Macaca fascicularis: one gene and its partner. The protein of the gene in region 2 purifies or fractionates together with the protein of the main gene of each other region. This does not show direct contact. Links are inferred from orthologs where the notes say so. Each region holds a gene or a part of one and is shown on either strand. Other genes may lie near its edges.

Region 1 (3,282 bases), on a different chromosome or scaffold from region 2:
GTGGGCCTGGGCTCCTCCCATATTTGTTCGGATATACAGTTATCCTGTCCCAGGGGCCAGTGGCTTCTCTCTACATGACAGACTCAAATTGTGAGGCTCAGTTTTTTCTTGTATTCACAGGTGGCATTGGAAGGCCTTCGGCCTACCATCCCACCAGGTATTTCCCCTCATGTGTGTAAGCTCATGAAGATCTGCATGAACGAAGACCCTGCAAAGCGACCCAAATTTGACATGATTGTGCCTATCCTGGAGAAGATGCAGGACAAGTAGGACCGGAAGGCCCTTGCCTGAACTCCAGAGGTGTCAGGACATGGTTGGGGGAATGTACTTCCCCAAAGCAGCAGACCTCTGGTTGCCTCCCCTGCCTCCAGTCATGGTACTACCCCAGCCATGGGGTCCATCCCCTTCCCCCATCCCTACCACTGTGGCCCCAAAAGGGGCGGGCTCAGAGCTTTGTCACTTGCCACATGGTGTCTCCCAACATGGGAGGGATCAGCCCCGCCTGTCACAATAAAGTTTATTATGAAAACAGGCTGGTGTGGGGACATGGGGACAGACAAGTACATTTAGGTTGGGTGGCTCAGGTGAAGTAGTGCGGCTTCTTCACATTGATGCCATACTCGCTGAGGGCAGGGGTCAAGTCCTCCATGGTTAAAGTATACTTGCGGTCCTGAGGGAAGAGGGAAGAGCACCAACTGAGCACAGGAATCCCACACTTCAATCCCAGATGGGTGACCCTGAGTAAGTTTTACACCTCCCCTAGGATTCAGTTTCCCCAAAGGGGTGGCAGGATAAGCTTCCACTGTTGTGGAAGGTAATTAGTGATTCAATGAGCCTCCCCTCACACCTTGCTCTTGCTCCGGGAGCTGCCGGAGGCTGTGCCCTTCATTTTGCAGTGCTGTAGGGCATCATTGGCAATATCTGAGATGAATTTCTGGGCAGCTAGGGAGATGAGCCGAATTCTAGAGAGAAAAAACTTAGATGAGAAGGAGATGGACAACACACTGCACAAGCACCCAAAACTAACCTGCCCTGGGTTTACTCACATGCGTGGGTCTGAGGCCTCAAAGCCAGCACGGTTCAGGTAGTAACCAGTCACTGCATCTGGGATCTAAGAAATCAATTAAGAGAACTGTCAGCAGAGTGGGATGAGGGTGAGGGAAATGTCGGATAGACCTGGTTATCAGGAAGCTCACGATTTGGGTGAGCAGAGGGCAAAAACAAGAGCGACTACGGAAGCAAACATCAGAGGGTGCTGAAAAGCACGGAGATGTGGCTGAAAGTTGTGACAGCAGGCTAGGTGGCCTTGTTCGGGCGGAAGCCCACCGTAGGCGTGTAATCCTCCAGCTGCATCAAGAAGTCCACCAACGGCGTGCTGGACACCACCGGCTTCACGTCTCCGTTGGCCGCGCTCGGCAGTACGTAAATCCCGTTAGACATGGCCCCTTCTGGGGGCGCCGCGCCACCCGCCGACACCGGAGCTGGAGGAGAACCAGCAAAATGAGACACAGAGGTGGGAGGCGCAGGGCCCCAGCGAGGTCTGTCTATACCCGCTGCCCTCACCCGCCGCTGGGCCCAGTCCCAGACGCTTCCCTCGCCCTCACCCGTCAGGCCCTCACCCGCCCCACGCCGCTCAGCTGGCTCCCCGGCCCGCGCCGCCAAGGGTCCCGTGCCCCCAGCAGCTGCTCCAGCCCCAGGCCCCCCTGCTGTCCCCGCGGGGCTGGCCTTGTTCTCCGCAGCGGTGCTGGCGGGCAGCGCTGCGGGAGCCGAGACCGGGGGTGCCGGGCCCGGGGCCGAGGCGGCGGAAGCCGGCGCCGCCTCGGGGTCCGCGCCGGAGCCGCTGCAGCTCATCGGGCCGGTGGGAGAGGCGGCGAACAGAGCCGCTTCCGCTTCCGCTCGCGCCGCGCACACCCCGGGGTGACGTCACGCGCCCTCGACTCGCCCCGCCTGTCACTGTTAGTGCTCTCCAGCCCGCTCCCCGCCTCCTCTGGTAGTGGGTCTGCGGGTTAGAGGAAATAGGCTGAAGGGCGGAGACCAAGCCTTGGCGAACTGCGCTGCCGTCGCCATTCCGCCCTAGCCTCTGCGGTGCTCGGTGGCGATTCCGTCGAGACTAGAAGCAGCGTGCGTCCGGGACTCTTCCGCCGCTCTGGGACACCTCATTCTGTCTGACGCTCAAGACCTTGCTTCGAGGTTTATGGGCCCTACATCCCTCGACTGCGGATTGCCTGCCTGTCTGCATCCTTTCAAGTTCCCTTATTCAGCCTTGTAAGGATTCATAGTGGATTTGGAAAGCCCCCCGCCCTTCTCCACCAACTGCCCCGAGAGGTGGGGGCAGCAGTGGGGCGGCCCACAGTGCTGCTGTAGAAGGAGGAGGGGTTTCAGCCTAAGTCGACAACGTATGCAAAAATCACAACGAGTGAAAGGCGTGAGATTTTCAATGTAGCAGATATTTAATTCTTATTTGCCAACTCCTGAGCTAGGACCTGGGAATACAAAGTTAAATAGAACACGATTCTAGTCCTCTAGGCACCAACGGTCTTGGAAAGGAAGCCAGACAAGTAAAGTGGCTATTTCAATACTATGTGGTCGTTACAATACTAGAGGTAGACACAGGGGTCGCAGTGCAAGGGAGGAAGGGCATTAACATCTGCCACCTACTTCCAGGTGCCAAGTACTCTTATCAACATTATTCCACTTTATTCCCTGGTGATTATGAAAGGCAGGTAATATTCCCACTTAACAGACGAGGAAACAGCCTCAGGGAGATAAACTTGCTTGACCCAGTCTCTCTCCCAGTCCATATCAGAACCAAGATTCAAACAGGTTTTGTTTAGAAAATCTAGGATTTTTCAGCCATAGCAAAATGAAGTAGCCTCAGGGAATCAAAACATTCACGAGAGAAGGTGACTTCTGAGCTGAATCTTGTAAGAATTCTGGAAATTAACCAGGCAGTTTGTATCAGGGGTAGTATTAAGGGGACAGAACAGCTTGAGCAAGAGTGAGAGTTCCTTGGGGTTTGGGGAGGGAGGAGGAAAAATGATTTGTTACTTAGGAACAAATAGCAACGAAGGTTTGTGAGCTATGATTGGGGGAAGAAAATAAAAAGCCTGAACTCTATCCAGTAATCCTTGAAGGGTTTTCATCCAAGTGGCCTGATGGGATTTGCATTTTACTCTGGAAGATGATTTGGGGATTGGCCGGAAGTAAGGACGCTGTACTTTTCAAGAGAATGTAGCCCTAAACTAATGTAGTAGCAGTGGGGATATAAGTGGATAAGTTCTA
Region 2 (4,003 bases):
GATCCCTTGAGCCTAGGAGTTTGGGAATAGGGAGCTACAATGGCACCACTGTACTCCAGCCTGGGTGACACAGTAAGACCTTGTTTCTAAAAAAAACATAAATAGGTTGGGCGCAGTGGCTCACACCTGTAATCCCAGCACTTTGGGAGGCCAAGGCCGGCGGATCAACTAAGGTCAGGAGCTCAAGACCAGCCTGGCCAACATGGTGAAACCCTGTCTCTACTAAAAATACAAAATTAATCAGGTGTGGTGGCACATGCCTGTAATCACAGCTACTCAGAAGGCTGAGGCAGGAGAATTGCTTGAAACCGGAAGGCAGAGGTTGTGATGAGCCGAGATTGTGCCACTGCACTCCAGCCTGGACAACAAAGAGCAAAACTCTGTCTCAAAAAAAAAAAAAAAAAAAAATTAGCCAGGCATGGTGGTGCACGCTTGTAATCCCAGCTACAACCGGGAAGCAGAGGTTGCAGTGAGCCAACATTGCACCACTACACTCCGGCCTGGGTGACAGAGCAAGACTCCATCCCATAAATAAATAAATAAATACAATCTATATTCATCAATTGGTTAAAGAGACATTAAGAAGACAATTTTTTTCCTTCATGCCTCTGTATTGCAACTTATGCCAGTGTCTCTCATTTAAACCTTACAGCAATCCTATAAAATAGATAACAGAATGGTACGTATAGTAAGGAAATTGAAGTTCAGATAGGTTATGCTAGGTAACTCAGGAAAAATAGGTAGTTGAGCTGGGGCTGCAAGGCTGCAGGTTCTAAAATCTATGCTCTTCCTCTCAATTCCAAGTTTTGTCAGGACTTCAGCATATTCAAGAGTAAAAGAGATCATGGAAGTGGAAGCTGCCAAACCACCATTAGGCTATTATGACAACACTCAAAGTATCACCAGTAAAATGATGACTGAGGCAACTGAAAAACAAAGCTAGGGAAATGTGATGGTTAACTTCATGCGTCAACCTGATTGGGCTAGGGGATGCCCAGATAGCTGGTGAAATACTTTTGAGTGTGTTTGTGAGTTTCCGGAGGGTTTGCTTTCCTGGGCTTCCAGCTTGCAGAAGGCAAATCTTGGGACTTCTCAGCCTCTGTAATTGTGTGACCCAATCCATCACAATAAATCTCTTTCAATATAGCTATACAGTTGACCCTTGAACAATACAGGTTTTAATTGTGCAGGTCCACTTATATGTGGATTTTCTTCCACCTTTAGGACTTTTTTGAAACAGGGTCTTGCTCTGTCACCCAGGCTAGAGTGCAGTGGCACGATCTTGGCTCACTGCAGCCTCCACCTCCTGGGTTTAAGCAATTATTGTACCTCAGCCTCCCAAGTAGCTGGGATTACAGGTGCGCACCACCAAGCCCGGCTAATTTTTTTTTTTTTTTTTTTAAGAAGAGACTGGATTTCACCACGTTGCCCAGGCTGGTCTCAAACCCCTGAGCCCAGGCAATCTGCCTGCCTCAGCCTCCCAAAGTGCTAGGATTACAGGTGTGAGCCACCACGCCTGGCTGGCATTTACATTTAAAATGTGAAACTGGGATTGTGGTGGCTCATGCCTGTAATTCCAGCATTTGGGGAGGCTTTGGTTAGGAAGACTGCTTAAGCCCAGGAGTTCAAGGCTGCAAGAGACTGCAGTGAGCTGTGATAGCACCACTGTTCTCCAGTCTGAGCAACAGAGAACCTGTCTCTAAGAAAAAAAAAAAAAGTGAGATGCCTAGGTTAAAATCAGCAGAGGAGAAGCCAGAGTGAGGAGAGGCAAAGGAAGAGAACGTTCAGCAAGCCAAATGAAAACAGTGTTTCAAGAAAGTGCAGCGATCAACAGCACCAGATGCTGATACAGGACTGACACCTAACTTAACAATGAATTTGGCCATCTAGAGATCACTGGTGGCTTTGACAAGAAGCCGGTTTAGTGGAGTGGTGGAGACCAAAGCCTGACTAGAGGCTCAAGGTTCAAGACTTGAAGGAGAAAAGGCACTAATGAGGGTAGACTGAGGCCTCTGGCTGCAAACCGGAGGCGAGGAGGAGGTAACTGGAGGACAGCGAGGGTGAAGGGGGCTGCTTTGTTGTTCCTAAGATGGGCATTTTTTGGCCAGGCACGGGGGCTTATGCCTATACTCCCCACACTTTGGAAGGCCGAGGCGAGAGGTTGAGCCAACGAGTTCGAGACCAGCCTGGGCAAATTACGAGCTGTTAGTGTATCTTCAAAAAAAAAAAAAAGATAATTTTTGTGCAAATAATAAAATAAATGCTGGAGTTCGGGGCCCATCTTCTGTCCGCATCTTCGTGACCCGGGCCATGCACCCGACCTGGGGGCTGCCTCCCTGCCAAGCCCGGCGTACTGCTGTCTCCCACCCTAGCCCGGGATGGAAGCGCGCACGCGCAGACCTCGAACGGCTGGGCGCAGGGCCCGCCCCACCGTCGAGTCCCGCCCCTCCCGCCCCCCAGCCCCGCCCCTCCCGCCCCCCTCCCGCTCAGAGCACGTACGCACCGTCCCTAGAGCGCCGCCTGAAGGAGGACGGGAGACTGGGCGCTGAGGGAGGGTTTAGCCCTTCGCTCCCGCGCTTCGCCGGAGGTCTCAGGCCACGGCCCGTCCCCACCTACCGAGTCTCGCAGAAAACAAGGTCTTCGGGCTGGAAACTGCGACGAGGGAAGCTGGCGCGTTCCTTGAACGCTTTTTCGGAGTCTGCGGATGATCACGGACCTGCGTTCGAAGATTGGCGGCACGTCGAGAGCCGCACACGTTTTTTTTTTTTCCTTTTATGAGCGCAGTCGCGCGCGGAGGACCTTGAACGCATGCGCAGTCGTTCCTCTGTGACGTGACCCGCTGCCGGGTGGGAAATGTAGTTTTTACTTGGCGGAACCCTAATTTAACCAACCAAAGTGCTTGTGCGTTTTCAGCGTTTTCTCCCATTCCCCCAGACTATTTAAAACAAAATGCAAAAAAAAAAAAAAACAAAAAAAACCCAACTTGAAAACGAAGAGATTGCTGCTTGCTGGAGAGGAGTGGGTGCAGGTAATACAAAAACCGTACTTTCTGCGCAATTTTGTTGTGAACCTAAAAATGCCCTAAAAACTAAAGTCAATAAAGTCTATTGTTAAAAAATTAATTAAAAACAGGCCGGGCGCGGTGGCTCACGCCTGTAATCCCAACACTTTGGGAGGCTGAGGCGGGCGGATCACCTGAGTTAAGGACTTCGAGACCAGCCTGACCCACATGGTGAAACCCTGTCTCTACTAAAAAATACAGAAATTAGCCGGGCGTGGTGGTGGGTGCCTGCAATCCCAGCTACTTGGGAGGCTGAGGCTGGAGAATCGCTTGAATCCAGGAGGCGGAGGTTGTAGTGACCGGAGATTGCGCCATTGCACTCCAGCCTGGGTATCAAGAGGGAAACTCTACATCTCAAAAAAAAACAAAACAAAAAAAAAAAAAAACAAGCAGACCTTTAGATCCAGAAATAGCACTTTTAGGGGGTCTTCTCAGGAAAGTATTAAGGATATGGACGTGCAATGGACGCATAGCCTCAGTGGTATTTATCGAAATCCATCTTGGTATCGTATAATTTCTTACATAACCCTACAAATGTCTGTAATTATTTGTAGATTATTTGATAAACTTGCAAGTCCTATGAGATTAGGATCATCTTGTGTTCACCTGTGTATTCCTAGTACCTAGCACAGTGCCTAGCCGTCACGTTTCTTTTTCTTTTTTTTCTCTATAAGACAGGGTCTCGCTCTGTTGTCCAGGTCTCGCTCTGTTGTCCAGGTCTCGCTCTGTTGTCCAGGTTGGAGTGCAGTGGTGCTATCAGGGCTTCTGAGTAGCTAGGACTACAAGCGCACACCAGCACATTCTGCTGATTTTTAAATTTTTTTGGTAGAGATGGGGGTCTTGCTATGTTGCCTAGGCTGGTCTTGAGTTCCTGGGCTCAAGCGATCCTCCTGCCTCAGCCTCCCAAAGTTGTGGGATTACAGGCATGAACCACCATGCTCA

Evidence for each region.
Region 1: the proteins of SGF29 (region 2) and TAF10 purify together in Homo sapiens (affinity purification with mass spectrometry; 3 studies listed by BioGRID and IntAct, with this or other methods). This does not show direct contact. The link is inferred for Macaca fascicularis from reciprocal best matches to the Homo sapiens genes SGF29 and TAF10.

The regions. Positions count from the first base shown.
Region 1 is NC_088388.1:59,466,798-59,470,079, reverse strand, and holds TAF10 (transcription initiation factor TFIID subunit 10), read right to left. Parts: upstream 1,877-3,282; 5' UTR 1,852-1,876; coding exon 1,605-1,851; intron 1,482-1,604; coding exon 1,327-1,481; intron 1,112-1,326; coding exon 1,047-1,111; intron 963-1,046; coding exon 848-962; intron 671-847; coding exon 581-670; 3' UTR 501-580; downstream 1-500. Other genes in the region: scaffold protein ILK, read left to right, coding at 121-270. UniProt on the Homo sapiens protein: The TFIID basal transcription factor complex plays a major role in the initiation of RNA polymerase II (Pol II)-dependent transcription.
Region 2 is NC_088394.1:27,811,706-27,815,708, reverse strand, and holds the start of SGF29 (SAGA-associated factor 29), read right to left. Parts: upstream 2,801-4,003; 5' UTR 2,504-2,800; intron 1-2,503. UniProt on the Homo sapiens protein: Chromatin reader component of some histone acetyltransferase (HAT) SAGA-type complexes like the TFTC-HAT, ATAC or STAGA complexes.